Linked DNA regions of Oryzias latipes. Each later gene encodes a partner of the first gene's protein in a complex. Links are inferred from orthologs where the notes say so. Each region holds a gene or a part of one and is shown in the gene's direction. Other genes may lie near its edges.

What was found.
Region 2: the proteins of kpna4 (region 1) and ranbp3 are in contact, whole or in part, in a crystal structure (PDB 5XZX), measured with the Homo sapiens proteins. The link is inferred for Oryzias latipes from reciprocal best matches to the Homo sapiens genes KPNA4 and RANBP3. Residues at the interface, in NP_002259.1 of Homo sapiens: Arg96, Leu99, Ser100, Asp102, Arg103, Pro105, Phe133, Trp137, Thr140, Asn141, Ala143, Ser144, Gly145, Thr146, Ser147, Thr150, Glu175, Gln176, Trp179, Gly182, Asn183, Gly186, Asp187, Asn219, Trp222, Val225, Asn226, Arg229, Asp261, Trp264; in NP_015561.1 of Homo sapiens: Asn114, Tyr115, Cys116, Pro117, Pro118, Val119, Lys120, Arg121, Glu122, Arg123, Thr124, Ser125, Leu127.

The regions. Positions count from the first base shown.
Region 1 is NC_019871.2:13,517,497-13,533,616, reverse strand, and holds the start of kpna4 (importin subunit alpha-3), read left to right. Parts: upstream 1-8,265; 5' UTR 8,266-8,427; coding exon 8,428-8,496; intron 8,497-10,448; coding exon 10,449-10,493; intron 10,494-10,638; coding exon 10,639-10,728; intron 10,729-12,170; coding exon 12,171-12,200; intron 12,201-12,335; coding exon 12,336-12,388; intron 12,389-13,072; coding exon 13,073-13,168; intron 13,169-13,475; coding exon 13,476-13,561; intron 13,562-13,794; coding exon 13,795-13,881; intron 13,882-13,969; coding exon 13,970-14,139; intron 14,140-15,993; coding exon 15,994-16,038; intron 16,039-16,120. Other genes in the region: ppm1l (protein phosphatase 1L), read left to right, coding at 944-1,287; arl14 (ADP-ribosylation factor-like protein 14), read left to right, coding at 5,788-6,102, 6,330-6,638. UniProt on the Homo sapiens protein: Functions in nuclear protein import as an adapter protein for nuclear receptor KPNB1. Binds specifically and directly to substrates containing either a simple or bipartite NLS motif.
Region 2 is NC_019875.2:30,537,762-30,553,922, forward strand, and holds the start of ranbp3 (ran-binding protein 3), read left to right. Parts: upstream 1-5,595; 5' UTR 5,596-5,854; coding exon 5,855-5,885; intron 5,886-5,945; exon of another isoform or gene 5,946-6,181; coding exon of another isoform or gene 6,182-6,212; intron 6,213-7,105; coding exon 7,106-7,161; intron 7,162-7,431; coding exon 7,432-7,468; intron 7,469-7,555; coding exon 7,556-7,633; intron 7,634-7,730; coding exon 7,731-7,802; intron 7,803-10,062; coding exon 10,063-10,128; intron 10,129-10,278; coding exon 10,279-10,371; intron 10,372-11,090; coding exon 11,091-11,200; intron 11,201-12,933; coding exon 12,934-13,050; intron 13,051-13,217; coding exon 13,218-13,318; intron 13,319-13,391; coding exon 13,392-13,467; intron 13,468-13,542; coding exon 13,543-13,639; intron 13,640-14,461; coding exon 14,462-14,616; intron 14,617-14,694; coding exon 14,695-14,815; intron 14,816-15,614; coding exon 15,615-15,757; intron 15,758-16,006; coding exon 16,007-16,161. UniProt on the Homo sapiens protein: Acts as a cofactor for XPO1/CRM1-mediated nuclear export, perhaps as export complex scaffolding protein. Bound to XPO1/CRM1, stabilizes the XPO1/CRM1-cargo interaction. In the absence of Ran-bound GTP prevents binding of XPO1/CRM1 to the nuclear pore complex.

The DNA.
Region 1 (16,120 bases):
AAAGCCACTGTCCAACTTTGCTATTAAGCATTATCCACCAAAGAAATATTTAAGCTAAATCTAACTTGATATTATGAAACTATCCCCATCATGACGCTGCCACCACCCACTACAAGGATTTTTTTTTTCACAGTCCTAAACCTTTTCACTATAGTTAAAAACTGTCAAGCACATTGTACCAAAATGTATTTGATGCAGAGGTAGATTTGGTCGACCTCTGATCGGAAAGATTGCGGGTTCAGTTCCTGTCCTGCCCACCCATGTGTCAGTGTCCATGGGCAAGACACTAAACCCCACATTGCTCCTGGTGATTATAGGTTGGCACCAGTGTAAGGCGGTGGAGATGCCACCAGTGTGAGAATGTATGGACTTACTGTAAAGCACTTTGAGTCTTTTATGAAAGTGGTAAAAATCAATTAATTAACCAATCGATTAAATGATTAATAGTAACACCTCTTCCATTTACCATTTATTGCTGTGTATTCCATTAGTTTATTCAGAAACGCATAACAACTCTTTCACTTCATTTAAAACATTGGTTCATAAAGGCTCATATGAGTTTGGTGTTTCAGAAACATCGATTTTTTTTTTTTTTAATTCGTAAAACATCACTTAAATAAATATGTTTGTGAAATAGTTTTGATAAAGAAGAAAAAAAGCTATATTTCTGCATAAATAGTGAAGTTCCTTTCATGAATACTTACTTTATATATGCAATACACGTCATAATACGTGACATTTTTTATAAAGATGTATCTTTTGTTCTTGTTGAGATAGGAGCCGGTTAATTGATGCCTGATTGTATTTGATAGTTTTTGTTGTGACGTATGTTGTATTTTTATTTCATTATGTCTCAAAATGAAGGAAAATTATTATTTACTCTCTATCTTAGACTCACTCCTCTCCTTCTGTTTCTTATCCCGTCTTTCTGTTTCCTCTGCAGGTGGATTCATCAGTTTCAATGGCTCATGGCGCGTCCAGGGCATCCTGGCTATGTCTCGTTCCCTGGGCGATTACCCGCTGAAGAATCTGAACGTGGTCGTTTCTGACCCAGACGTTATGTCCTTTGACCTGGACAAGCTGCAGCCTCAGTTCATGATCCTGGCATCAGACGGCCTCTGGGATACTTTCAGCAATGAGGAGGCAGTTCGCTTCATCAAGGATAGACTAGATGAGCCGCACTTTGGCGCCAAGAGCATTGTTCTCCAGTCTTTCTATCGAGGTTGCCCTGACAACATCACCGTAATGGTGGTGAAGTTTAAAGGCAAAAGTGGTGAAAAAAAGTAGTTCCTCCCGCCCACGGCATGTATATATGATGGTTTGAATTCATTTACGGTGGAAGATTTAAAGCTGCTTTTTGAACAAGAACTATTTATATCGTAGGTATTTACTGCAGATAGCCCTTGAAACCTCACATAAAACACTTTTTCTCTTTCTAATCTTTTACCCTACAAGTGTCACAAACCTGTGAGTGCATCAAACAACTACACTTTTAACTGTGTAAGTGTGCACTGGAACGAGTGGAGGTAAAATAAAGACAGTATTCTCTTAGAAATAAATGTACACAATTCTTTCACTCTAAAGCAAACCGGGACTGAGAGGTTTAAGCTACATTGTTAAATCCTTTTCTGTCAATTTGTACATGTACAGTTGAAACCAGAAGTTTACATACATGGCATAAAAACACACATGCTTTTTTTTTAAATAAAAGGAAACCTTTCCTGTTTAAGGTCAATTACAATGGGCAAAAAAGTTATTTCTATTTGCTGAATGTCAGATTTATGAGAATATCTTTTTTTTAGAAAAGTTTTTATTACTTTTATTAAAGTCAAAAGTTCACATATGCAAGGTTAAAGACTTTAATTTTTGGAGACATTTCCTGTGGGCTGACCATACCAAAATGAAACTGTTTGGCCACAATGACCATCGTTATGTTTGAAGGAAAAAGGGGGAAGCCTGCAGGCCTCGCAACCCCATCCCAACTGTAAAACATGGGGGTGGTAGTAGCATCATGTTGTGGGATTGTTTTGCTGCTGGAGGGACTGGTGCACTTCACGAAATAGATGGCATCATGAGGAAAGAGAATTATGTGGAAAGCAACATCTGAAGACATCAGCCAGAAAGTTGAAGCTTGGGCGCAAATGGATCTTCCAAATGGACAATGACCCGAAGTGGCTTAAAGATAACAAAGTCAATGTTTTGGAGTGGCCATCGCAGAGCCCGGATCTAAACCCTTTTGAACATTTATGGTCAGGGCTGAAAAGGCGTGTAAATGCAAGGTGACCTACAAACTCAGCTCAGTTACACCAGTTCTGTCTGGAGGAATGGGCCACAATTCCTACCAAATCTTGTCAGAAGCTTGTGGAAGAATATCTGAGATGTTTGACCAAAGTACTGCAGTTTAAAGGCAATAGAACCAAATACTAATGGAATGTATGTCAACTTTTGACTTTGATCAAAGTAAAACAAATTAGTTTGAAAACCGTAGTCTCATTATTCTATCATTTAGCAAATTGTAATTGACCTAAAACAGGAAAAGTTTACTTTTATTTCATGTTGTGTGTTCAGTTGTGTGGTTTTATGTTGTGTATGTAAACTTCTGGTTTCAACTATAATATCCCATCATTCATTTTCGTCAGAGGCAGTGGCGACTCTGTTTCCACATTGTGAATCATGTCATTATTTAGCCTTATGTGATCAACGGCAAATATGAGATTTGTTTCTCTGGAGAGCTCATACAAGAATACTTGCATAAAGAAAATCTAATTGTAAGAACAGGTGTTTCTCTCTTTTTGTTAAATTTGAGCTTTTTTACAGGACTGCTAATAATTTCTTCTTTCGAATCTCACTTTATTTAAAACTTTTTAGTTTTTCAAAGCTAGGCTGCTTCACCTAGAAACTCTTTCAAGACCTCTGTTATACGTTTTATTGTTTTATCTAATAACTGAGGCTTACGGGTCTCAAACTCCGTGTCCTGGTTTTCTTGTTTGGGTCAACTCACCTAATTTATGTCAATGTCAAAATCTAAGAGTCCTTGATGTTATGCTCCTTTTTTGTAGGGGTTGATTCTAGGTACGTACCGGTAATTAAGAGCAGAGCGTTAAGATATATTAAGGAATTGCTTGGATTTGTAGCATAAAACTAGTTTGAATAAACATGTTTGTATTTTAAACTTGTTACAATTAAAAAAGCGGAAGTCCTGGCGTGTGTCTCATTAGGAAGAAAGAGTCAGTTTGCACCATTTCCTAAATCGTAAAGGGATTTATTTCATTTTAAAATCTTAATGATGTATTTTATGTTAAATGATATAGAAAACACCCCTTTTTAGTTTTTGTATCACTCAAGCAGTGTTGTGGCCTTTCAATGAAATTACATTGAGTTTGAGAACCTGCTGTATGTAGTTTGTAGAAGCTTAAATTACATTATTTTCCAATATGAAGAAAGTCATAAGGTAGTCATTTAAAAAACAAACTTAATACACAATTTATAATTTTCTTTTTTTTTTAACAGATTACTTGTTTAAAGGCTAGGAAAGTGACCACCCAGAACAACATTTTAAAAATTTTGTTATGCATTTTTTAAATAAAATATGTTTTATATTTTTAACATTAGAAGTTCTTCAAACTAACTTTTTTAAATTAATTTACTAATTAATTTACTTAAATGAAATGATCCATTCTGGTTGATTACATTTTTCTTTGGACAAAAACAATCCATTTTAATTTTTACAGTACATTAAAAACTGCATTTGTGTTTTATTTTGTCTTATTCTGGTGAAATTACATGATGTTGCCTTATTTTTAATTTTTTTTCTGCCAAAACTATTTTGTGAGTTTTCGGTGAAATGCATTTGATCGTGCAGGGCAGTGCAGTGGAGGATGCACGCCCCATATCTTGTACCTTCATTCAGATATTATGTGTTGAGTGACTGTTTCATGAGGTATGAAACATAAAGATGAATGTAAATACCGTCATCACGTGACTACCAGCTCCACCCAAACATGCAGGTTATTACAGCTGTCCCTGATCCTAAGCTAACTGCAGAGATGTAAATACATGAATTCCAGATGAAACTGTCTGTGCTTTTTTTTCAGGATCATGTCATGATGTACCTCACTGAATGTTTCTTGCCTTTGTTATTTGTTTTGATGACTTTAATACACTGCTAAAAGTTTAATAAATTGAACATTTTAAATTTGAAGACCACAAAATAACTGTTATGTGTGTGTGTGGGGGGGGGTTATTCAAAGGATTCAAAGGGGTTTATTGTCATATGTACAGTAAGGAAATGAATTTCCCTGTACAATGAGATCCTTTCTTTGCTGTTCGCTCTGAATGCCATAAGGTTAAAGGTTAAACAAAAGATAGGATAGGATATTTACAGGATATCTGAAACATTCACACCAGATATAAAATATAACTATGCAGTACAGTGTACAAATCAGCTGTTTTGCACATTCAGCTGAGAATAACTGTTCAAAAGAGACTTTCATGAGCTAAACAGTGTGGTACGCATGGATGTTGTTAAATATTAAGATGTAAGAATTGAAAAAATAAACAATGAGTATGCGCAAAGGGGCTGTTTGTTGTTCCAGACTCCTGTCAGCTGTTAAGGAGTCTGATGGCAGAGGGAAAGAACGAGTTCCTGAGTCCTGTAGTCCTGCACTTCACACTCGTGTACCTCCGTCCCGAGGGGAGGAGAGTGCACAGATCTCGTTGCAGTTGGGTGGGGTCCTTGATGATGGAGGAAGTTCTCCTGTGGATCCTGCGTTTGTAGATGCTCTGAAGCGAGGGCAAAGGCGTCCTGGTGATCTTAGTCGCAGTCTTTACCACTCTCTGCAGGCATTTGCAGTCCATGGCAGTAGAGCTGCCGTACCACACTGTGATGCAGCTGGTCAAGATGGACTGTAGAAGTTGCTGAGGATCTTTGTGGACATGCCGAACTTCCTTAGCCTCCTCAGGATGTACAGCCGCTTATGAGCTTTCTTCATCAGCTGTGTGGTGTTAACTGTCCAGGTGAGGTCCTGGCTGGGGTGGACCCCCAGGTATTTAAAGCTGCTCACCCTCTCCACTTCCAGACCCCGGATAAGCAGCAGCTGATGAGGGTTCCTCTACTTCCTCATGTCCACTATCATTTCCTATGTCTTGTCTGTGTTGAGGGTGAGGTTGTTGTCCTTACACCATGTCACCAAAGTGGCCACCTCTCTCTTGGAGGCTGCTTCGTACACTAGTAAATTTCTTATCAGCTTACAGAATTGTTTTCAAAAATTGAACACATCACAAATTACGTGTACAAACTAAAAGTAAAATAATGTATTGAATGTTAATAGTTGATTTACTGATTGTGCAACTTTCTTCCAATATTTATCATCTATAAAAGTGTGCCAGTCCTTGGATCAAACCACCTTTCTCCATCAGCTGGGGACACCGAAGCAAAGCTGTGAGGTTAGTGCTGATAGACATTCAGCCAGGAGGGAATTTGATCTTCCCATTGTTTCAACTGAACTTCCTGTTTGCGGCAGTGTTGGAGGACTTTGGGCACGTGGGACGTGATTCTACATTCTGTTCTCTGGTTGTGAGCTGCATGTATGCACTGTCACTGTGGGTAAAAATAGCTTTCCTGAAAGCCGTGACAGCATGAATTTGGTCACAGAGGGGAGGGGTCACATGGTCTTCTTAAGGCACCAGTCTCAATATAAGCTCACAAAGCACAGACACACAAGCCTTCATACAAACTCAAGAGGATAAAGAAACTTTTCTGAAAGGGAACTTGTGCTCCACTGGAACATGGGTACGCGTGGATCCAAACCCAAGAAACAAGCGCAGGTCTTGATGCTGGGTCTGGACGGCTCAGGGAAGACAACACTGCTCTACAAACTGAAATACAACGAGAGCGTGGTAACTGTACGGACGGTGGGTTTTAATGTGGAAACCCTGGAAACCGACAGGAGCAGTCCAGAACTGACAGTGTGGGATGTTGGGGGTCAGAGGAAGATGAGGCCCCACTGGAAGCATTACTATCCTGACACCGCTGGCTTGATGTTTGTGGTGGACAGCTGGGATGAGAAGAGGCAGGATGAGGCCTGCAAGGAACTCCATCGGGTATTTCAGTTCATGTCTAACCTTGATCAGAAAAAAAATACAAGTGTTCCTATGTATATATGCATTTTTATTGTTTCTGAAGCAGTGAATGCAATACTAAAAAACAATTATTCCGAAACAAGTTAAAAAAAAAAATCTACAAACTATTCATCAAAAAAAGGGAACAAAATAAAAATCTTGATTTTGTTGATTTTAATAATTTTATTATTATTCTTTTTACCTTTTAGGTTCTGAGACACAAAAGTCTTAAAGAAGTTCCTCTTGTAATTCTGGCCAACAAACAGGATCTCCCTGGTTGCTGGAGTCCAGAAGCCCTCAGCCTGAAACTGGACCTGAGAAGGGTGTGTGCTGGAAGGGCGTGGTTCATTCAGCCCTGCTCAGCCGTCACTGGGATGGGGCTTGAGGAGGGTTTCAGGAGAATGGTGTATTTGATGAAGACTCCACTGAGGCAGACTCAAGAGCACATCAAGTTAACGATGAAAGCAAAAGGCTTGAAGTTCACATCAGCAAAAAAAGTCTTTTTTTGTTGCAGCTGATATCTCTTTTGTTCATGCTGGATTTACTTTTGTCTTCTTATGCTGCGTATTTGCAGACAGCAAAGCGGATGCATCTATGAGCTCAAAGAGGTTAGGGAGAAGGGCGGCTTCCCAGAAATCATGGAACAAGCAGAAGATCTGCTGGGAATAAGAAAATAAGAAACCAAGAGCATTAAGGGAAAGCTTTTGGGTTTTGAGGATATACATTTATATATAGATATATAAATAGATATCTATATATCTATCTATCTATATATATAGATAGATAGATATATGATATATATATTTTTATTCAAAATGTGTTTGTCTTCTGAAACAAAATGATATTGATTTAATGACTTGTACCAAATCAGTGAGAACTTAACCCTTGTGCTTTCCTGTGGGGTCCAGATGACCCGATCCTTACATTGACGTGTTCTTCCTACCATGACAAAGGTGGATTAAGGTGAATAGGATTTCATGTAATCCATGGACACCAGTGAAATCATTGAAGAAAAAATGTTCAGCGCACTGTCTTGTGGGGTCTAGATGACCCAACTCCCAATGTTAAAGTGACTCAGATAGCACAAAGGTTACAGCAGATTTATTAGTTCCCAAATGAATAAAGTAAATCTCTCATGTTGATGTTTTTTTTAATATTGGAACTTCAAATAAATGTAATTTTTATGAAGATTTTGGGTTTAAGGTGTTAAATATAAATATTCATAAAATATTATGGAAAAGTATAGTCATTTCCATGATTCCATTGAAAACATTGTCCAGATTAAAATAGTTTAAAACATCCGTGCCCCGCAGAATTTGGACAGATTTCACCACAGTATTCAGATTTACTAAAAGTTTGTTTTCGTGGTTTTAATGAGGTGGAACCCAAATTTATGTAAAAATAAATAAATATTAGAAATCAATTAAACAGTACACTATATTCAATTTTTAGATCTAATTATCCAAATGAATAGACTTTTCCATGATGCTCTATTTTTAAAATGGTATTCAATAAAAATCGTGATACTACTGATAATTTTGTAGTTGTAATATCGAATATAATGGCAACATGGTGTGAAACTGGGAATTACATTTTTAGCATTGTATTGTAGAGAAAAAAGACAGTTCTCCGATCTAGAATGCCTTACTTCTTAATACTATGCCAAAATTGAGCAATCCTATTCCCTTTTTTTATTCAGATTTTGACTGCCTTATGAGAAATAGCATAAACTAATTCATTATATATATATATATATATATATATATATATATATATATATATATATATATATATATATATATATATATATATATATATATATATATATATATATATTATATAATATAGTATAATAGTACATAGTATAATATATAATATATATATATCTAATATATATATAATTTTATTATAATAAAAAGAATTTAGAATTTTACAATTCCCTAATGAAAACTCCTTAAGAAATGATGCGACATGGATAGGGTTTTAGTGAAATGACATATTTAAGTTTAGGTGATCACGAATCAAACGTCTGCCTTCCTAAACATGAGCAGACGTGAGTCGGTATAATGCGGTGTCTTCTGCACACAGACGTGAGCGGTGAAACCAATGAGAGTGAGGGGGATTTCCCCACCCTTCCCTTACGCCAGAGCGAGGCTGCCCTCTACCACCGGCATTCCCAGTATGCACCGCGGACCGAGCAGCAAAAAATAGTCCACTAACGAAAGACTGCGAAAAGGGAACCAGAAACAGATAGCTTACCGGCTAAAACTCTGTCCAGTAATATTTAACGTAATCAGAACTACTAACATGGCCGACAACGAGAAACTGGACAACCAGCGACTAAAGAATTTCAAGAACAAGGGCCGAGATTTGGAGGTAAAAGTTGCGAAGATCGGTGTCCTCGCTTTCGTCTGCACAGCCGCCGCGCTCAGCCTTGCCCCTCGGCTCCGTTGTGACGTCGTTTCTAATTTACACCACGGGCAACTTTGCTGCCAGAAACTGGCGAGGGCCTTCAGAAATCAGTGTTTATTGGAGGCTGGAATCGTTGGGTCAATTTCGAACTGGTTTCGTTTTATCCCGAAACCGTGTTGGGTGTAAAACATGTCAGAAAAGCCTCCGCTGGATCAGCTCTGCTAGCCACCAGCTAGCAAGGCCTCCGGGAACATGCTAACTCCACTGATGCATATCATCCCCCAGTTCGGTCTCGCTCGGTCAGAAATGTTAACAGCTTGCATACAATTATTTACAAAGTACTTTTACGTTATCTTCTGAGAATGTGGTGTTAAGTTAAGCTAAAACAACGACAGATGTTCGTACTTCTAACATTGCAGTTAGCCCAACTGCGTGCTAGGTTAGCGCGGCGGTGCTGTTGGCTGCAGTTCCACCCATCCCCCGTCTTTATAATCAAAAACAATGGCGGAAACAAGTAAGCTTCTAACATGACCACTTATATTAGGCTCAAGTCCACACCAATAGTAATATAGTTCTATTTTATGCGTTAATAGGACGTATTCTCAGGAGAGCAGTCTCCCCTTAACACGTTTACTACATGATTCATAGATCAAAGCTGGACGTTGGTTCATCATGTCGGATCAATAAGTTACCAGGTGATTTACAGTCAGGTCAACGCGTAGCTGTTAATGCATTCCAGCTAGTATTGATATCGGTTTCAGGTGGGGTTGCAGACGCAGGAAACCACGCATCCTGTTTGAGAAGGTACATATATGTTGCGAGGGGGGCGTCGATGATTGTTACGTTAATTATTCGACTTTCAACTCGAGAACCGCGCGTGAAATTCGTTTCTCCAATGATAAACTTTAAGCATCAACACCAAGGTTCAATACTTAATGTAAATAACTTCTAATGCATGCAAAGGTTCACGAGGAATTGAGTCAACAAACATTGTCAATTTGCATTTACTTTGCCTCCACTGTGTGCATCTGACGTAGAATTGTTTCAGAGGGCGGCGGCCACGTGGGACAGTAAAGCTGCACCTTTACCGTGAATAGAAACACATCTAATGTCACATCATGCACTGCAACCTGTAGACATATCCGCTTCTGAAATAAATTTGGCTTGATGTAATTACTAAGCTGGTAGCTGAGGGAGGAAGTGCGTGCGATTTTCAAGATGTTTTTAGTGGGTTACCAGATCACTTCTCTCATTCATAGTTCTATTTTAAGTCATCTCTGTCATATGACATTAATATGTTTACTATTTTTGGTCAGTGTTATCACTAATAAAACAACTGACTGTGTGGACACAATTGAGACATAACTGGTCATAGTGAGGATCCTAACAAACTATGGTTTTAATATTTGCAACAGGTTTTGCTTGACTAGAAATCGAATAAAGTAATGGGTAGATGAATAATCTTGTATAGGAAAACCCTAAAAGTGATCCTTAAGGTCTTCTTCCAGTCATGTTGTTTTGTTGTAACTATTAACCTGCTTTTTCTTTTTTATTGAAAAAGCTTGCTATACTACCATTTCCTAAAAATGCAGTTCCCATTTTTGCCATTTTACTTTTTTTTCTTTTTGCATATGATACAAATATGTCAAAAAAGAACAATGAAACCTGAAAATGTAAAAATGATGTATCGGTCAGGTACTGTAGTTCTTAAAGCTGAGTTACATTTAGTCAGACTTGTGATACTCATTTGTAGTTGCAGACCTCTGCTTTATAGATGCTGTAGACTTAATGCCCAGACGACCTGCATCATCAATACCCGAATATACACAGTACCCTGATATTCTCATTTATTTCTCTAAATTTGTTTGGAAGGTTGAAATTTCCTAATTTAACTAAATTTAATATTTTCCTTGCAGACGATGAGAAGACAAAGGACTGAGGTTGTCGTGGAACTTCGAAAGGTAAATAAACTCTTTACTTAAGCCATTATTTAATTAATATTGCAGAATGCTCTCAGAATTGAATATTCAGCTATATTTTATATATACTTTGCAGTAACATAAATGGATGATTAGTGAAGTGAGCTCACTAACTTTTTCATTACAGAACAAAAGGGACGAGCATCTGCTGAAGAGGAGAAATGTTCCCCACGAGGACCTCTGTGAGGACTCTGATCTTGATGGAGATTTCAGATCAGTGAGTTTATCTTTCAAATATTCCTTTTTTACACCATTATTCAGAAAAACCATATATTGCATGTTTGAATTGCAATACTACTATTAGCAACAGGGATGACAGCTTGTCAGATATGGTATAGACTGAATTTGTACTGAGATTTTGTACATTTTTGGAAAGTCTTCAGATGCTGAGCAGGTTAGGTTTAGACTTTTGCATTTAGGATGCTGCTTTATTTTGTACTGACTAGGTGGGGCAAGATTGTTTCAAAGTGTGCAGTTTGTCTTGCTATGTACTCATTTTTCTTGATCAATGTGCACAAAAGCTTCAGTTGTTGCTCAAGATACTTACAGGCACAAAGAATGAAGCATTTCTAGATATTTTAGAGGCGCTATAAAGACAATAGATGGGTGACAGATGAAAATCTAGAAAATGTCTTAAAGCTGAACTAAGTGTGTTTGATCTGGATTCAGATGACAGAAAATTTAGACTGTTGGATAAAACATGCATTGAAGTGTTCAGTCTAGAGAAAAAAATCTGGTTCCTTTTAACAGCCAGGTGTATAAAGCTCAATTCACAGGGTGATACTTGTATCATAGTGCATCAGCAATGACAAGACGATCTCTGAATGGCATCTGGAGTTACTTGGCAGCTAAACTAGTTCTACAATTCTTTGTGTGCATACTTATAAGAAATCGATTTATTTTTATGAGTATTCACAAACAGTGAAATACAAATGTGTGTGTTGGTGATTTGTAATGGCCATTCAGTTTGTAAAAGATTCAGTGTAAATGCTTAATAGACCGGAGTTTGACTGTTTAAAAAAACACATTCCAACTGTAAAGGATTTCATTTGTTTTCTTGCCTGAGGAGCTTCTGTTGTCGTCACCAGTTCCAACCAGGCCATTTTGAGTGCTCGTTTTCAAACCTACATAATGATATCTGGTATATAGCACAGTTTTATTATAGATATAAAAGATACAACTGGCAGTTTAATAATTTCCCACAACCATCAAATGGAGTCACAAATATAAACTTTCTTTTTACCCAATAATTTTATTTTATTTTGTTATTTATCTCCAAATCGACTGCTAATTGTCCTCAGTGTTGACAATTTGGACTAAATCGAAGGAATCTGGTGGGTTTTTTTCTTTTTCTCTGCCATCAGCCAGGCTAACTCCCAATTAGGTTCCTATTCAGAAACAGTCTGAACTACTTATGGAGTTATCATGTTAAGTTGCCAGAAGGCACATTGCCATGCTAAATACTGGCCTCGTGTCTTAACCTCCTGACTGATTCTCAACACATTTTCGGGTTAAGTAACCAAGCTCATTTTCTGCTCTGGTTAGTTTGTTTTTGAATCATAAGACTATTTGAGCAAGGTTTCTGTGTTTTAAGAGCTTTATGCACCAAATATGAAACATAATTCAAATGCAATAACTCCAGGAAACTTTCTTTTGCAGCAAAACACCTCTCTTGAAGCAATAGTACAAGTAAGTCACTATTTAATTTCTCCTTTGGAATTTATGGTCTTGCTAACGGAATTTTGTTGTCCTTATTACCAGTTTTATAAAGCACGTATTTATTCAGTTTCACTGACTAATCATCTTGTTTCCTTTGATATATAGAATGCCACTAGTGACAACCAGGGTGTCCAGCTGAGTGCTGTTCAGGCTGCTAGGTAAACACACTTTAGTTTGTAGTTTTTGTTTGTACTTTAACCAAAACAAAAGTCTTAGTATTTTTTGCTCTGTGGAGCAAATGGTGGACTCATTTGAAAACATCCATAGTTGCAATATACGTCATTGTCCTAAAGACTTGATATTTCATTGCATCAATGCTGTAATACACCTAATGCTGCATTTCTGCTGTAGAAAAAGGCATTTTGTTTCCACAACCTACATGTGGCTCACAGATGTGTTTACAAGCCTCTGCAGTAGCAAACCAATGCAGAGGGCCTTTTGCTTGCACTTGATTTCCTTTTGCCAAAGTATGTTGCTGATGAAATTCCAAGGCAGAATATTTTTCTCTTCCTGACTTACAGCATGTCACCCTCTTGATTAATGGACGTTATATTTAATGCAAGTGCGTCATGCTAGCCTCTAGAAATTGTGTAGTGCAGCAAAACTACTTAAAAATAATGAGCAATGTTTATTCTTCAACAGTTCTGTGTATTTGTGAATCCTTTGTAGTCACTTTTAAAGTTAATACTTGGGTTTGAGTTTTAGCTGTGGAGACAGATGGCAATATCTGATGCTAGGACTAACATATGTGTCATTACATTGTGTCCATAGTTTATTATTAGTTGGTCTGGAACAATCAAATTTCCTTTAAGGCTGATTTCATGTTATAATTTTTTTTATAGGAAGTTGTTGTCCAGTGACCGTAATCCTCCCATAGATGACCTCATTAAGTCTGGGATCCTGCCTATACTGGTCCACTGCCTGGACAGAGATGACAAGTAAGCAAGCTGTAGTTCTGTTTGTTTGCATTAGAATATAACTGTTTTTAGGCATTTGTGCTGATTCAAAGTAACATGTTTTAATGGTCTAGCTTGGTGCATTAAGTTATTCCAATAAGTGAGGTTTAGCCCACTCTGCATTTTAATCATATTGCTGTTATGTAAATGAAGCCTTTTTTTCTCCTCAGTACCTTGCAGTAATGGTGACTCATCGCCATGCTCTTACTGTAATTTACCCCTGCCCTCTCCCACTCACTTGTGCAGTCACAATTCTGATAAATCCTGGTGTCTTATTTGTGTTTTTTAGTCCATCTCTCCAGTTTGAAGCTGCCTGGGCTTTAACCAACATAGCATCTGGCACCTCAGAGCAGACCCAGGCTGTGGTTCAGTCCAGTAAGTGCCACTGTTTTTAAAGACGCAATACTTATTTAGTTTAGTCAGATCTTTTGTTTGTTTAAAATGAATTTTCTTGGTAGATACACAGGCTGAGTATAAATAGCTGTTTTTTGTTGAATGACCACTTCTTTTGAGATGTAGATGCTCTGATAAGAAAGTTTGAGCCTCTTCTTGAGTTGCACATTTGTTGGAGCCTTTGCTCACATTTTCGTTCCTGGTGTTTTGTTCAGATGCTGTTCCGCTGTTCTTGAGGCTGCTCCACTCTCCTCACCAGAATGTCTGTGAACAGGCTGTCTGGGCCCTGGGTAATATCATCGGTGAGTAACCGCCTAATCTGATCTGACGAGTGTCTAATACGAGTGTTTAATCCAAATTTCCCATGCTTTGTTAACCCGTTCTGTGCAGGGGATGGTCCTCAGTGCCGAGACTATGTGATCAGCCTTGGTGTGGTTAAGCCCCTGCTGTCATTCATCAGCCCCTCCATCCCCATTACCTTCCTCCGCAATGTCACCTGGGTCATGGTCAACCTTTGCCGTCACAAGGACCCTCCACCACCCATGGAAACAATCCAGGAGGTAAGCACCCACAAAGAGATGAAGCGTAATGGGATCTGTGTGTCATGGTGTTATTTTAGAGTCGCAATTTTTATATCCAACTATTGCTGAAAACATGTTTCTTTTTAACAGCCCATACAGACCGCAACAATTAGAAATAGATCTGTTCTTTTAAAAAGGGAGATGGTTGAGTAAGATTAAAATGACAGGTTTTAGCTGTACCAGTTTGTGCGTTGAAGAAGCCATCCTTTTTTCTCCATATCACTTCACAGGTGATGAGATGTTGAGCTGTTCCATTACAATGTAGTTCTAACAGTAAAGTTCCTCTCCGATCATCGTTTGAGCTATTGTAAAAGCATTCCCAGTGGTATTTTAATTATTATGATGCCATTGTTAGAAAAAAACAACAACACAGTGTTGTTTTGTAGGACATAGTTTCTCCAGAGCAGCAGTTAGAAATTTGGCTCTTAGCTGTGGGTGGGACTGTTGTGGGGGGGCAACCCCACCCCCCTTTCCCTACCCGTTGCTGAGAGCTCTTTGTTTACATGCTCTCCTGCTAGCTTACAGCCCCTCACAACCCCAACCTAATATTAGTGTTGCAATAAAAATGGTGAGTAATATTGGAGCCGTCCAGCCGTACAGTTTTGAGCCAGATGTCAGCTCAGACGAGGAAAACTGACACACATGCATCTAGAAATGAGTGCATCAGAATGGAGCAGAGGCATCAGAATGGAGCAGAGCAGGGATTTAATGGTCCGTCCAGCATATTTTCTAAGTCACAAATATGCTTTTTCAAAAAGCCTTTTTTTAAGCTACTTCTGATTCACAACAATTTCATCAGAGGGCATCTTAAACCTCTTAAAATGTAGTTGTAACGTTAGATAAGCTAATTCTTTTCTAGGAATTCTGGTACATCGCCTGTACATCCTGGGGGAGGATCCCTCCTTCATGTGGGCTCCCCTGAGGTTTTTTCTTTTTTTCGGAATCAGTTTAGTTTTTACTTACTGCGAAGGTCTATGTGTAGGGATGCCCAGTTTAGTTTAGTTTAGCCATTACCTATTGAATTGTATGACTTTATGTTCTTAATGATTCATGTTTATTATACAATTGCTGGTATGAGGCCCATTGAGATGACTATTGTTGTAATATTGGGCTATATAAATAAAATTGAATTGAATTAAATGTGTAGACGAACAAACCCCTCCCTCACAGAGATGACACGCGCTGTCATAGTGCACAAAAGCTCCGGTAAACTTGTGGTTAAACCTTTACACTGTAGTTTGAATCAGGCTTGTCGACGATTGTCTGCAGCTGAATATCTGCAGAAAAGTCTTTTTAAAATGATCAACTGTAGAATCATCAGATCATACTGCAAAAGACCAAAGACATCTGGACTTGCAAACCTATTTGAACATGCCTCAAGGTTACTTCTGTAATGAACACCGTTATCTATGTTAACTCCCTATTCACGGCTGGATTATTAGAGAATTCAGTTGTATCTTCATCATTTAATCATAATTGATCACTGAAAAGAAGAAAGGAAATATGAATAACTACATTCAGCTGTTTTTGGTCTTCCTTTGCCATAAGGTAATTGTAGGTGGGAGTCTTCTTTTCTCTCAATTCCAGCCCTTCTAGATTGTGTCCTGAATTTGAGAATGAGCGTTGCAAAGGGATTACGCTTTGATGTCTCATCCGTCTGAACCAGTGAAAGCAGAGAAAATGGTGTTTAAAGGATGAGTAGGGTGTTGAAACTGCAGGCCGTAGTACAGGATAAGAATAGATTTTTCTGGAGATGTGAGGACTTTAAATATAATCTGTTATTCACTGTCTTTATCCATCCCTACACTTTGTAATGTGTTTTTATTTTCTCAGATCCTGCCAGCTCTCTGTGTGCTGATTCATCACACTGATGTCAGTGTAAGTATAACAGGCTGTGCTGTTCTGTCCTCACTGGTTTGGAGGTGACAGCATTTGCCTAAACATGGTTTTAAAAAACGTT
Region 2 (16,161 bases), on another chromosome or scaffold:
GTTTTTCCATATCTAGAAGGAGGGTCTAAGATCAGGGACGCCAGTTTAGTTTAACAATCAGCTGTGGTATTTCAGAACTGATATTAGGTTTTGTACATTTTGTGAAGCCTGTTGAGACCACTGTGATGTGAAAGTGGGTCATATGCAGTACAGACCAAAAGTTTGGGAAGGCGTGTCCAAACTTTTGGTCTGTACAGTAAATAAAACTGAATTGAAATCAGTTGTAAAGATGAGGATGGATAGGGTCAGACAGCAGAGGGTGGAGGTGTGAGGATGACTCTGATGGTGAGGAAGATGAAGGGAGCAGAGCAGAGGACCAAAAGGTGGAGTCCTATGAGAGTTTTAGGGTGGAGGTGAAACTGACTTTGGGAGATTCTTTCAGATGACTGAACATTTGTGAGCAACATGGTTACATTCAGAGGACGAGAACCACAGATTAGTTTTGAAGATCTTTCTTGAGATGATCAGAGAAGGTCAGAAGGAGTTTATTGGGTCTTTGTAGATCTGGAGAACAGCTACAACGGGATCCAGGGACAAGCTGTGGTTTGGATGGGGAAGTCTGGAGAAGCAGAAGAGAACGTTAAAGTTGTTCAGCACATTAATGAGAGCTGGAAGACAGCGGTGAGATGTTGTGACAGTTGAAGGTGGAGGTGGGACCACACCAACAACCAGCTTTGAGCTCCTTCTTGTTTGCTGTGGCGATGGAAAGACCGACAGATAAGCCTAGACAGGAATCTCTGTGGATCATTAAGTTTGCAGATGACACCGTGATCTGTAGTGAGAGCAGTGGAGGAACATCCAGTGGCTCGGATGTAAAAACGGGAGGCTGAGCAGGAGGTAGCAGTGATGAAGAGGCTGAGGTTCTCTCAGGATGGATCATTGAATCCATCAGAGGATCATGGTAGATGTTCTGGAGATCCATGCAGGGAAGCAGGTGGAGATGTTTGGACACGATAAGAGGATGATGTTGGTAAAAAGATGTTGAGGTTGAAGCTACCAGGAAAGAGGAGGTTCATGGATGTAGAGGAGGATGTGTGAGGAGCATGCAGAGGAGGATGGAGGTGGACGGTGCCTCCTAAAGGGAGCAGCTAAAGACAAACCCCCAACACAGGCTGCATTTCCAGATTCAGGAGATGCAGTTCTTCCTGTTTGGTCCTGACATCAGCGTGATGTGTTGTTTTTAGAGGAGTTCCAGCTCCCTGGGATCTCACCTTCTTCGAGGACATTTGATAGTGCGGCTCACATTTGTGTTTTTGTTAACACAATCTGCCAGGTTGCAGTGAAGCAGCACGTTAAAGTTTTTTCGCTTTCAGTGCCGTCGCGGATCAGAGACAAACTGGTTGCAAATTCAAAACACTGTTCATGTTCTCTCAGAGGATTGTGGGAATGCATTACAAACGGCTGACAGACTGGGTTTGACATGATTTATTCACCTATTGCTTCAGCTTCATACAACTCTGGTCTTGTTTTGTTTGCGACTTTAACCACAGCCACAATAAATAGAAAATTTATTGGCAAGACAAACTGCATCTTCTTGTGACGAATAGAAATTAAAACTATCGGTGAAAATCCCCATTCTTGGCCTGCATTTCCAAAAAATCCCAAAGGATTAATCGCACTTTCATTTGTCAGAATAGTTGATGGTCCGCCGCCGCATGAAGATGCATTGTGTGGCCGTCAGCGCTCCTTTCAGACAGAATGAAGTGGAGTTTTATCGTTTAATGAGTGTTTGAAAGAAGGAGCCATTCATCAGACTGTTTTTGGAACAATAAGGAGTAAACTAAACAAGTAAAGAGCTGCAGACTGAATGAAGGCGCTACTTTTCATCACATTGGTGATTCATCACTGTGACCTGTACTCATGAACTGGACGGCCTTCTTTGGCCACACAGAGATGTATATATATATATATATACCAGGGACTCATTGGGGAGGCTGCATGGTGGTAGAGTGGTTATCACCCTCAGCGAGGAGGCCCTGGTTCAAATCCTGGCTGAGTCATTTCTGAGAGGAGTTTGCATTATCTTCTCTACCTGATGCTGTTCTGAAGAAGCTGAAAATGAAACCAGAACATGTTGTTATTTGGAATCTGTTTGAATTGTTTTAAAGGTTGTGTTGTAATCTGCCTCTTAGCCAGGACTCCCTTCAAAAACCGATCTGCAGATCTCAGATGCTTTCCTGGTTAAATAACGGGTAAATAAATTAGGATTTGCAGACTCCCATGCGGACACAGCAAACTTTGTTTCATCATAAAATAATGAGGAGATCCGTCCTTACAGCCCCACTCAGATGAAAATTGTGTTTTTGGTGTTTGAAAATGTTCTTGAAGCATGTTTATGGTGACGGAGGAAGAATATAGAGACTATGAATAATAAACTGCATTTCTGAGTTTTTCTTTATTCAAATCGTTGTGGATCTGGAGCAGACGAAAAAATGCAGTTTGAAAAATATCCTATTTGTCACGTAGAAAATACAGTGGGTGGAGCCACAGTCTCCCTGCCCCGCCCCTTTCTGATCCTCCACCTGCAGACCAACAGATCCATGAACGTCTTTGTTTTCCTGGTCCGAGCTGGAATCGACGGATGGATCTGATGTTGCTGCTGTTTTTGTTGCACCGCTGATGTTAGGATGGGGGTGTGGGGGGCTGTAAGCTAGCAGGAGAACATGTAAACAAAGAGATGATGGGAAGTCAGGGAAGGCTTACTCCGCTCCAACAGTCCTGCCCACAACTCAGAGGTGAATTTGAATAAACTCCTGCCGCTCTGCAGAAACTATGTCCTAGAGAACGACACAGTTTTTTTTTAATTTTTGCTAAAAACGTCAGAATCACAATTAAAAGGCCACTGGGAACAATTTTCTTTTGTTGCTTGGAAATGTCATCTAAAATATTCATGCTTCTTTGTCACAAACCCTTTTTATGACCTCCTAATCCATATTTTTACATCAATAAACACAAATCCCAGATGATTTCACCCTAATTCACCTGTTTTTAATCCCATGATTTGTCTTTGTTTTCTGCTGTCCTGCACATCCTCAGACACACAGATGGCTTTTTATTGTGTAACAGAATGAATTAGTGAGAGCACTTTAAAAAAAATGTTTTATCTCAGGAACATAATCTGTTCCTGAGCAGCTTCACCTGCATCAAGGTGAACTACCTTTCTAACACTACAGGCCTTAAGTCAAACCTGAAGTCACCCCACTAAGCCACTTATCCGGCATTGTGCAACAGATCCCTGAGGTCCAATATCCTCCAAAATTCAATTAATGCCCCTGATCCATTTGCTACATCCCCTTATTCCTGGGGGTTTGGGGGGCCAGGAGCTTATTTGAACAGATACTGAGCGAGGGCCCCTCCCCGGCCGGCTGTCCATTAATCACACAGCAACATGTCCACACAGCTGAACAAACACACGGCGAGGTTAGGAGAGGGTCCTGCCACACGGGGGTCTGGACGAAGCGTCTCCTGGAGGGATGATGGAAGACGGTTCTTCACGCGTGTTCCTGTAGGTTTTGAACTTTCTCCTTCATGTGGACTGTAGTTACCGGGGATGAGTCCGGTCTGGCAGCTGACCTCTCCATAGACCTCAGAACCAAACGGGAAGATTCTGTTGATTCCCAAGGAAAAGATGCTATCAAACACAGTGGGGGGGGGGGGGGGGGGGTGTTGTTTGTTTCCACTGAAATCCCCCCATAAGTTTCATCTTCAGGTATCTGTTTCAATACTGTGAGAAACAGAAAGAGGAGCTCAGAGTTCACCGAGCTTCTGGGAATGTCATGCTGGAATGTCTGCTTTCCGAGTGGTGGAAGGTTAGAGAGCTAATGCTCCTGGCTCGCCCCCAAAATGACTGTGTACGTTATGTAACGAGGATGTCAAAGGCCGGTGGCTCCGCTAATGGAAGGCAGAAAAAGAGAAACTGTTACGGTCTGAAGTACAAGCCAAGCTTTGCTCTGCAGCACACATCACAAACACATGCAGCAGCTTGTCTGACTGCAGCCTGGGGAACTTCATGAATTCATCTGTCAGGACATTTCTGTTAACATGCTTTGGTGCAGACAAACACAAAAAACTCTGCATCAAGCCTTTTCTTCACCAGAAGTCGGCCATCAGACTGAAGTGCTTTTCTTCTGCTTTTTACTGTTTTGTCTTAATTTATGCAGGATTTTAGAGTGTTGTTAATGTCTGATGGAGGTGTTTTGACAGAAAGAAAGATGAGAGCGTGTGAGAAGTGGAGAAAAGAGGCTCAGACATGAGCCACACCACTGTTTCAATGGAAGTATCACAAAACAACAGAGGGCTTTGAGTAAAGGTACTATGTAAACATTTATGTAAAAACAATGAATTCACGTTTTATTCTCTACTTTTATGAATGGTTTTAGGTCAGCAGTGGGGTCACGTGGACTTAACCCTCCTGGATCTACCTAAAGTGAGGTTGTCCTCTAGTGGCATAAAACAGGTATGTCATGCAGATTTGAAATACATTTGGGTGAATCTGACATCAAAACTGGGAAACATTCGTGTAAATCTACTAAACTCCATATGCTGATGAACTGAACATCATTGTAGCTCGATGACAACTTTAGGAAATCACACTGTTATTTACACAATCAGGGAAAGAGACTCTTCTGAAAGGAGACGGTATATGAAATGTGTATCAAAGCATTTTATGGGCTTTTTAAAAATGTCTTTCATAGAGTCCTCCCCCCTCAGTGAACCACAGTCAGATCCAAACTGTTTCAGTAACTTCACTGCAGAAGTGCTGCCATGTTATTTCATTTTTCTTCTGTACAGTTTTGGATTTGCTTCTTTGTACTTTTTTTCTGTAAATGTTTTTCAGATTATTATATCTTGTAATAAATCTTATTTTCCGTCATATTTTTTGCACATGTATATGCTGTGTGAATGATGAAACACAAAGAAAAAGACAGGAAACAGCACGGAGTCCCAAATGCAGCATCGTGTTCCTCATGTGGTTCAAATGAACAACTACAAATAGGAACAGACACCAAAACACCTGAACCAGGAACTCCCTCCAAAAGTCTGGATAATTTAACTCAAATTGAAAAACCAGGTTCAGAAAACTTTATTAACAGAAATGTTCAAAACAAAGTGGATTGTTGTGTTTAGTCTCTGCTGGTATTTGTAGGTCATTGATGTTTTTTGTATTTGCTGCTCTAGGATAGATAGACATAATTTATTCCAGACTCATGGTCCAATCAATAAAAAGGAGTTCACAGACCCCTACATTAAAAAGGCACCTTGTCAAGAATACACAAGTTGAGGTACAGTATATGAAAAATTACAACAGTTGATAGTCTAACTGAGCTCGCAGACATTTCTTTTCCATTTTGGCCCTGCGGTTCTTTCTGGGACATGTCTTCCTCTCGCAGGGCCCCTGCGGTGTGGCCCTCGGTCAGAGGCCCCGGAGAGCCGGCTGCAGGCTGAGGCCCTGCTCCGCCGCGCGGCTCGTCTTATCTGCGCGGTGGGTTGTGGGTGTGTGAGCGTCGAAGTAAAATGGCGGACTTGGCAAACGAAGGTGAGTAGGTAGCAGAAACGGGGAAAAAACGCGCCTCCGCTGCGGATTTTCAGTTTGCACACAGGTGCTGCGCGAGTAGGGCGAGCGGCGAGGAGGCGCTCTGTCGCCCGCAAATGTTGATCGTCGGAGAAATGTCGCCCAGGAACGTTTTGAAAAGCGAAACGATAGCAAACATGCTAACAATGCTAACGCCTGGGCTGAGGCTAATTCCTGGATTGGCTGTTTGTCACTAGCCGGCTTACCCCCCCACTGCGAGCATTTGGCTATTAATAGCCACTTTCTATTGGCATTTGTGGACCCGCGTATCTAACCTGCCGGATGCTTTGTCCCAAACGATCCTCCACATTAAGTACGTGACCGTAAGCACAGGTTCTGACATCACCGGTCTGCCCGGTACAGAGCGCGCAGAAGGACGTCGTTGTGTCTGGCTGATCGGTCAATTTGCGGAATCGAGAAGCGCTTATTTAGGCGGGTAGAGTAAGAAAGCCCCCCCACCCCCATTATGCTATGAGTTGTTAACAGTTTGCGGAAGAATGGCCGTTAATTTCACGTAAATGCATTTGTGGTTTTCGTGAGTCTACGGTGTGTCTACAGTTTTAGCGGCTCTGGTGGCGGGAGTTGTAAAGGAGAGATGACTCAAGCAGGATGAAGCGAATTAGCAAGCTAACCATAGCATGTAAGCTACTACATATGCACAGCTTTGTAGCAGTGGCGGCGTCTATGTGCTGGAAAGGGTCAGATGGTTAAAAGTACTAGTTGTTAGCATCCGCCGGCAGCGTCTTCTTCACGAATGACGGAAAATAGACGCCGCCGCCGTTCGTTATCGTATTTTCCCCGATGAGCTGTAAATGTTTAGGAAGGGGATTTACAACACTTGTGTGACCCACATTGGCAGGCTTTGGGTTTAGAACAGTTTCCTCGTTAACGTCATGAACCGCGGGGCTGTCATGAATGTGCGGGATGCCCAGTCCCGCGCAGCCCGCTGGACAGCCAGGCGGCCTGTCACGCATGCTTTCCCGGACAAAGCTCGCGGCGGGGACGCTACACCTGCTCCGAGTATAATGGGCCTGGTTCGGACGGAAACCTTTGTCTGGTGTCGCTGAACGTGAGGAAAGTGTTCCGAAAATCCCCCAAAGTTTGCGTCTGTCATACACATTTACATTAAGATGGTTGTTTTTAATTGTTTTCCCATATTTCATCCCGAGCTTCATGATCTGGACCCCCATAGGGTTGAATGTTCTTACATTTAGTCAAACTGGGAGTTTATTTCTGTATTTGTCATGAAATGTTGGTGGTTATTTTTCCAAACATCTTCACAAACCCTCCTATTTGTTGTTCTCTTGGTCCAAACTTCTGAAATTCCTGACTGACTTTATATCTGCTTATTAATATTCTGCTCATCTTGTAATGAATGTTGAGTCAACAATTGGTTGATCTTAATGTTCACTGGCTGTCGCCTGGGAACCACTTTTTAATTTATTGTAGGTAATTTAAACGTTAGATTTCAGTCACAGCGGCTGGTTCAGGTCCTTGGTGCTTGGATGACCAGCCTACCTCTCTTCTTGACAGACAAGCCTGCCATTGCACCTCCTGTGTTTGTTTTCCAAAAAGATAAAGCTCAGAAGGTACGTTTCTTTATGTTGGATGTGTTGATGTCATATTTTATTCTTTGTGATTTTGTTTTGTTTGGAACAATGCACACCGATGGACGAGCACATACAGATGGACCACATGTGATAGAGTTAAAACTATCTGAACAAAATAAAACCCAAATGATCATGAAAGTTATTTAATCCATAAAGATTCAAGAACAAACACAAAATGTGGATTTCTCTTACTGGTTTGTTTGCTATTTATTTTTACCCATTTAAATATGTTGTTGCTCTCTTTGACAGCGATCTGCAGAAGGCTCGAGTGCAGAGGATGGAGAAGGTTAAGAAGATTTCTCAAATAAACGTCTGCATTTACTGTGTGTCTCTATAACTTGATTGCTGATCCTTTTCTGGCTACAACTTTCAGATTCAGATAAAGATGAGGGAAGTTATTGTCCTCCTGTGAAAAGGGAAAGAACCTCGTCATTCCCGCCCCCACATTCTGGTAAGGACATTTTGTAAATAAGCATGGCCTTTTCTTTTTCTGGTTTTCACATTATGCATGGATTTGTATGCTGACGGCGGTGTCTGCTGCTTTGCAGTTCCCAAGAACAATGTATTCATGCCCTCAAGTTTCTGCCAGTCGCCCACTGGGAATTCAGACTCTGAGCCAGGTGAGAAACGCAGGCCTTCAGAAGGTCCACTTTTCTCTTCTCTCCTGAATAAATACTCTTTAGCATAGCCCAGCCTAAGAAAACACTTATATATCCACGTAATGGTAACACTTTCTTGGTTCAAGTGTAATATGTAACAATATCTGCTTTGAGAGTCGTGGTTATCTGCAGTGTTTGTGTTGAGTTTGGTGAAAGGCTGGCATGTCTGCTCTCTTTACCTTAAAGCTGTCAATATTTCCTTAAGTAATGGATCTGATGTCATTACTGATGGATGATTGTAACGTAATGCTGATGCGGAGTTCCCTCGTTTGTCATTACAGATGCGTTCTAAAACGAATCAATTCAATTTTATTTCTATGGCCCAAAATCACAACAATGGGCTTTGTACCGGTAATTGGAAAGTAAACATAAAACCAAAAGGATCATGAATGCATAGATTTGTATAGGAAATTTCTAAACTGAACTAACTAAACGGACTAAAATAAACTAAACTAAGCATCCCTGACCTTAGACCCTCCTTCTCTGTAAAGAAAAACTTCTAAAAATAAACGGATTCTGGAAAAAAGGAGAAACCTCAGGGGTGTCCACATGAAGGAGGGATCCTCCTTCATGTGGAATTAGCTTATCTAACTCTACAACTACATGTTTAAATTGTCCAGCAATCAGTAATGAACAAAATCCACAAAGTAGGATTATTCTATATGTTTTAAGGCAGTAAAACTCCTCACTACACACTATAGACTTTTCTCAGACAGACATTCTCACACATTTCTCTCTTGTTTAAACTCAAAGTTCAAACCTTCACAGATGAATACGAACAGTTTTAAAGAATAAAAACACAGAAGTGATCATGATTGAAGATTTATTTTTATGCAGCAAACTGCACGGATTCTGAACAGAAAACACCTCACCGAGATTGATTGACATGGTCTACAGCCAATCGTGGCGCAGAAAAAATAAATAAATAAAATTACACAGAAAAAAAATCTGTTAGGCGAGAAAATGTAATGTAATTCTTTTTGACAACTCATTCATTTGTTGATATTAGGGGTGGGTATCGACGAGTCTGGCGATGCGTATCGCGATACATGTGAGACTTGTTCTCATCTGGAGCCCTCTAAAAATCACCACAACCTGCGTTTTTATATGGCAACAACGTGGCACAGAGGTTCGGTTCGGTACCCATCCCAGACGCTTAAGGACGGTCATCAATAATTAAATAAATGTCGTCTGGACAGCATTTTAAATCGATACAAAAATCGCAATATATCGCCAAATTGATTTTCCCTACATCCCCAGTTGATATGAACAGAGAATATTTAAAAGCCAACAGGCTTGATATTTAACCTAAGGATGAGTAATTTGTAGAACAAGACTGTAGTTTAGGAGGTTTTCCATGCATGAACAGAACAGACGTCTGCCTGCAGAAGAGTCTGTGCTTTTGGTAAAATCCAACATTATTCATGTCACATTTCACTGCTTTAAAAACAAAAGTACAGAGAAAAAACACACCAACAAGATCACGTGATTGAATGATTTACATCAACAGATCAGACACACTGATCAGCACCAATTCCTCCTGTAAATCGTTTTTTTTACAGCTCTGGGGAGCTTCTTTCTAAACGTTGTTGGATTTGTGTGTTTGCACCGTCAAACTGCCCGGTAGGATGAGGAACCGGAGTAAAATCGGGTCATTTGGGAGTTGGATGTAGGCCAAATTTTTAAAGCTGAATAAACAGCAGGATGGTATTTATTGGACGGCGGCAGATCAAATGTGACCACATAAAAGGGAAACGCAGCATTTACCACATTTCTGTGTTTTGCAAAGTACATTATGTTTGTTGCTCCCACAAAAGTGTTGAGTACAAACCACTTTGGGGTCGTTATCTGCCCGTGTCCTGCCAGCTGAATGTACACTCCACGTTAACCTGATGGAGCGTTATTGACCACCGACCTGTACCAGGCCTGACTGTTTTTCCTTTGCTGTGGCGCTCTCTGCTTCGCCACAGATTAGAGCAGGTCATGCAAGCTAATAAAGCCAGAGAGTTGGCAAGACAAAAGTAGAAATAGATCCGACGCCAGAGAGGCTGCCATGCCATTGCACAAGAACTGGATTGCTACACAACTCATCGGCCTCTCTTGAGGTTGCTGTGGTAACTGGACCTGTGGTTGGGGAAGAACATGTCTATTATATGTTACTGTGCTATTCTCCACTAGTTTTTCTCCTGATTTGTTTTCTTCTCTCATGCTGTCTCACCAGAAGAGAAACCTGTGGGATTCCGCTTAAAGCCACCGACTCTAATACACGGACAAGCCCCCAGTTCAGGTAACCTCATGCTCTACATGTGTTTACTAGCATAGAAAGTACTTTGACTTCCAACTTACAAACGTCACACAGATCCTGCAAAAAGGGGGAGGGGCTAGGTTATGTATTTATTGAACTTAGACATCCCAAACATCCCAATCTCTGTTATAGGCGTCCCAAGTCAGAAACCCAAGGAACAGCAACGCAGTGTCCTCCGCCCCGCCGTTCTCCAAGCTCCACCCTCCAAATCACATATAGAGTCAAGTGAGTACATTTTACACTTTGACTGCATTAAACAGTAAAATCCCTTCTAGCCTACACTCAGTGTTCAGGTGAAGCTCTGCACTGTATTTCTGAGGGGAGTTTGAGAATGTGCAGCATATAGAGCTTGTCCGTAGTAGATAAAGAAAATCTTATTCATAAATTAATGATAACCGCTGATAGTCAGGCCTTTTGTTCAAATAAAATATACAAGGAATTTAAAAATGAGTTTATCCTCACAACCTGTGACCTGTGACACTCGCGTGTTATGACAGTGCTTTAGAAGTCAGCTTAAGAGTGAAGACTCAAGAAAAAAACATCTTCTAATTATTAATGAATGGCTTTCAGGTTACTGAACATTTCATGTAGGCTCTATTAAAAAATGTCCTGTCGTTAACTTAATCATTCAAATATTTCCCCAAATCGTCACGTTTCATTAAGTTTTTATTCAAGTGTCGGTAAAGAATAGATTGGTGCCGTGTTAAATCAAATATTTTCTAAGTATTTGGCTATCTACTACATCTGTAAAGGTCATAAGTAAAATGTCTCTTAGTGGAAAAACCAGAAACTTTTCTAAAAAGTAGTGAAAGATGGTTAAGATGTTCTCAAAGTTGCAGAAAGTCATGCTAAAGGATTTCAGTCTCTGCAGAAACTTCATTCATTGATGGTCAGACTCTGTGAAAACGACGGTGGTCATTTTAACATTCCTTCTACGGTTTTAGATTCCAGTTGTGGAACCAATGGCGTGAAAAAGACATCAGATGGAGCGTCTGTGACTCCGTCGCTCTTCTTGAATAACAAAGATCATTCACCCCCATCGGCCAAGTCACTGGTGAGACATGACTGCTGTTCAGTTTAGTCTGGGTCTCTTCCTCTGGGACAGTCTCTGTTAAAATGTGCATAAATGCTGACTAACCCCCCCCACAAATCAGGTGCTCAATGGGGGGCGCTGTTGTCCAAAGCTCGCTCTGACCACACCCAGAAAAATCGTAAAAGAGAAAAGCAGCTACGATGCATCGGAAACAGATGACACCATAACCATGAACGAAGGACGTGTTTATGTTTTTACAAAATGTCTTTAATCATGAAACAAAAAGTAACTTTTACAGATTTGGAATGACAGTATTAGATTATCGGGGGAGTTACGTTCTAAAAGAACCAGCAGTAGGAGAAATCTGTGAAGAAGAGATGTTTTAAGGCTGTAAATCTACACACTTTTCTCTCATTTAAACTCTCAAACTACAGAGTAAAAAAAGGTCCAGGATTAGAGAATGAAAACAAAGATCTGATCCCGATGGAAAATGTCTGTAAATGTAACAAAGTGGACGCATTCTGCACTGGAGACACGACCATTGACAAGGTCTAAAGCCAATCAGGATGCAGAACACAGCGCCCTGTAAAAAAACAAACGTAAAGTTTCAGTGAAAATAAAACCGCTCCACGGGGAGACGGTTTAATTTGTTTTTTTCCCCTTCCTGCTTCTCCCTTTAGGGGGCGCCCTCTCTGCATCCTCCTCTCTCTAGCCTTTGCCCTCGTTTCCTCCTTCTTGCACCTCCTGGTTGGTCCACCTGGACCTGAATTCCAGCCTCCAGGGTGGCAGCTGAGCATGAATTCAGCCTGAAGAGCGTGATTTAAAAAGTAATATAGAGTCATCCATGGAAGGCTTTAGAGCTAAAACCTGCAGAGCCGTCTTCCTTAAGGGGGTTCACTCCTCAGCTGGTGGGACTCCTCCACTTTCACTGCAGTTTTTTGCAAATGCTGTTCAGTTCTGACTTCTTTCCTCACAATAACAAACCTGGAAATACTGGAACACTGGACTCGTGTTAACGAGCTAAAACCCCTTTTCTGTCATCTAATGTTCCTAAATGTGGAGTCGAACAGAATCTGTTTTCTGCTCCGATCTTTATTAGCTTTATATTGGGCTCATTTATATGAAAACATGCTGATTTCCTCCAGTGTCCTTGAGCCAAGTCAGGCCCTGTTGGACTGATGGGGCCATCAGAAGAAGACAGTCAGGAAACCTTGGCGTCTTTGTGGAAGTAGAGCATCTAAGATGTTAGCTTCATACAGCATGACCTTCATGTGATCATGAATTTCAGTTTCAGCGCTAAATCATTCATGCATAACTTAAGAATCAACCAGGAATCCTACAGACTGAGGAAATAAATGAAGACGAATGCGTGTTTGCAGCTGTCCAAGGAGGCAGATGTTTGTTTATCTGGACTTTTTCTTGTCATCCAAATGATTGGAGCATTCAGGACTAATGTTTGCTTTCTAAACCATCAGTAGTCTTAAAAAAAAGGATAATTTCTGAAAAATGTTGGTACATTTTCTGACTGTGATGAAGATCCTGAGAGGAGGATGAGTTTGTGGAACCAGTGCTTTGTGGTTCTGGGGTGACAGCAGGATGGAGTTAATGATGGTAGATTTGAGAAGAACTGCCATTGGGTCCATTCTGGCAGAACCACACCTGCACTTGAACTGGGTTCTGAAATGAAAACTGAGACTGTTTGGTTTTAAGAGACTCTGAACAGAAATGAATCCTGATGCTTTTTCTGTTTTTAGAAACCTGAAAATCAGGAAGATGGAGAGAGTGGCAGCAAAGATGAAGACGGGAGAGAAAACGAGAAATCTGTAGCTCTATCGTTTGTGTTTGGTCAGAATATCAAAGACAGAGCAAAGGTGGGCTGTTTGTCTTTCACCTGTAAACCTATGGGACACATTGATGTTGACATACATGCGTGTGGGTTGTTTATTTTAGATTTCCCTCTGAATATTGGCATGTATGACACACATGAATGTGTCCGTTTGTGTGAATAAATCCCTAATGTTTCTTCTTCATCCAACAGTTGGACAACAGCAGCACAGAAGAAAACTCAAAGGATAGTTTGCTACCGGACTGTCAGTCAGAGAGCACAAATTATTTCTTACAGTACATCTCCACCCCAAGGTGAGGAGGTCTAACTGTTTTTATGATTCTTTTATTTGAAACTCTAACCGGCGTGTTTTCATTCCCACTTCAGTTCAAAAAATGCCTCAAACAGTGGAGAGAGTGGAGCCAAGTTTGTGTTTGGGCAGAATATGTCTGAACGGGTTCTGGTGAGTGTTGCTCCGCAGAAAAACTGCGCTTTGCCTCAGAAGAAACCCGTGTGATGATGGCTGTTGTGTTTCCAGAGTCCTCCTAAAGGAGAGGCATCCAGTGAGGAAAGTAAAGATGTTTGTGCTGCTCCTGCTTCAGAGTCTCCCTCACAGGAAACAGCCACAGACAAAGGTAGGAAAAGCCTCCGCTGTCTGAAAAGATGCTGCATGTATGACTTCATCCCCGTCACGGGCCTGACGGTTCTGAGGTCATGTGACTGACCACCACCACACGAACACATGTCAATTACAGGATCCTTACCGATCACCAGAACTGTAGGGCCAGTGTTGACGTTCTTCCAACTACCGTTAACGCCATCGTTAGCATGAATCAGCTGATTCATGCTAACGATGGCAAAGCATCTTATCTTGATGTCGCTGGCGGCGACTCCAGTGTTTAGAGGATTCACAGGATTTTAGTTTTTCCTAAGTTGGTCGTCTTCCATCATCCTTGGATCTGTTTTCAAAGTGGTCTTTTCATCGGGAACATGCAGTTTTTAGCTAAAATCTAAAAACTCAGATCGATTTTCTAGGACATCGTTTCTGCAGGGCGGAGTTGTGGGCGGGAAAGTTGGTGCGGAGCAACCCTGTACCCCCCCCTTCCCTGTGTCTGTGGCTGAGAGCTCTTTGTTTACAGCCCCTCACACCCCCAGTCTCATTAGCGGTGCAACAAAAACAGTGGCAATACTGTAAAAAGTGGATGCATCAGAAAGGGGCGGAGCTGGGAGCTTGTGGCCCCGCCCAGCGTATTTTCTGCTTCACATGCATTTTTTTTTCATATGCGCCTGTTTCACAACGATTTACAGAAATACTGAGAAATGCAGTTTTAATCTTGTCTTTATTTCTACCATCAGAAAAATGCTACGAGAACACATACATTTTTCATTGGTGTGGATCTAGAAAGATGCTTTCATGTCCGTCTTTGATCTGAAGTTAAACTCTTGTTGACCTTCAGATGAGGCTGAACGCCCTCCTGTGTGTGTAGTCAACAGTGTGTCCGAGTCCCTGGAGGAGTCTGCAGCAGCTTACACCAAAGCCACAGCCAAGAAGTGCGTCTTAGAGAAAGTCGACGTGAAAACTGGAGAGGAGTCAGAAAGCAACGTCTTGCAGGTGAGAAGCGCTCTGGGGTGGAAGCCCGACTGGACTGCAGACCCTGATGCAGGTTTTGTTTGTTTGCCTTTGCTGCAGATGCAATGCAAGTTGTACGTTTTTGAGAAGAAAGCTCAGTCGTGGATAGAGAGAGGTCGAGGGCTGCTGAGACTCAACGACATGGCCTCCACAGAAGATGGAGCCCTACAGTCCCGCCTAGGTAAACCTCTGGCAGAAGTCAAGGGAGCTACTTCCAGAGGGGGTTCGGACTTTACCAACAAATTCTGACTCTTGTTAGTAAAAATATATAAATCCAAAAAATGCAAAGACAAAATAATGTAAAAAATGTCTAACATTAGCTCCACTGAAGTAGTAGTGTTCCAAACATTCATTCCCACCAAATAACTGTCATAACATATTTCAAAGCTGAGACCCTTTTTGAGACCTTCAGCGTAAAAGTTTTGAATGAAAACCATACTAGGGGGTGGGGGGTGGGGGTCATTCCTACACCCTCATGATGTAGGATTGCTGGTGTGGTGCTGGGCGAAGCATCGGTGAATCCAGAAACCTCTGAGGGCTCAGACCCATGTGTTGTTGTAAGGCCGGCTGTGACCAGCAGGGGGCGCTGCAGCGAGACCCATCCTGCCTCAGAGATCAAACGCTCCTTTACAGCCTGATGGTTGTGGGCCAAGAGCTCAGAGCTGGTTCTCATTACAGAAAGAATGAATGTTGTAGTAAGGAATGAAAACAATTTACAAGTAAAGCTTTTTACTTTAGTGATTTAAAACCTGATTATGTCCAGTTCAAACCATATTTTAGACTTCAAGGTGATTGTAAATATTCTTTTTGTTTAACTTTCCCTGACTTATGTCTAGCTCACAGATTACATAACAGAAAAATCCTCCCGACGGTTTTGTGTTTTCATTGAGAGTCAGAGCTCTTAAACATGGACTAACCTCTCCAGCATGTGGCGGGAGGATTTCAACACTCGTGTCTGTTTTTGCATGCGCCTCTGGCAGTGATGAGGACCCAGGGCAGCCTGCGGTTGATCCTCAACACCAAACTCTGGCCGCAGATGCAGGTGGACAAAGCCAGCGAGAAGAGCGTGCGAATCACTGCCATGGACACGGAGGACCAGGGCGTCAAGGTCTTCTTAATATCGGTGTGTGGATCTGCTTTTGGTGGTTCTGGAGGATTGGATTTGGAAAAATAGATCGAATCCGCTGATGTTTGATGCCGTTTGACATGAAGCTCCTCCACCTTCAACCGCTTGGTGGTCGGAGCTTCTGTCCATGACAAACACACATGTTTGACATCACACTGGCCTCAGATGCATGCAGGGCAGTGAGGCCATGTGATTCACGTGTAAGAGGCGGTGTCATGAGAACACGCATGTGCTGCTCCCCTATAGGGTAGCTCTAAAGACATCGGGCAGCTGGCTGCTGCGTTACATCATCGGATCTTGGCTCTGAAGAGCAAAGCGGAGCAGGAAACGGAGGCCCTGACGACGACCATCCCTGACGCAGAGGTACCACAGTCCAACGAAGACGACAGCGACGAAGAGGA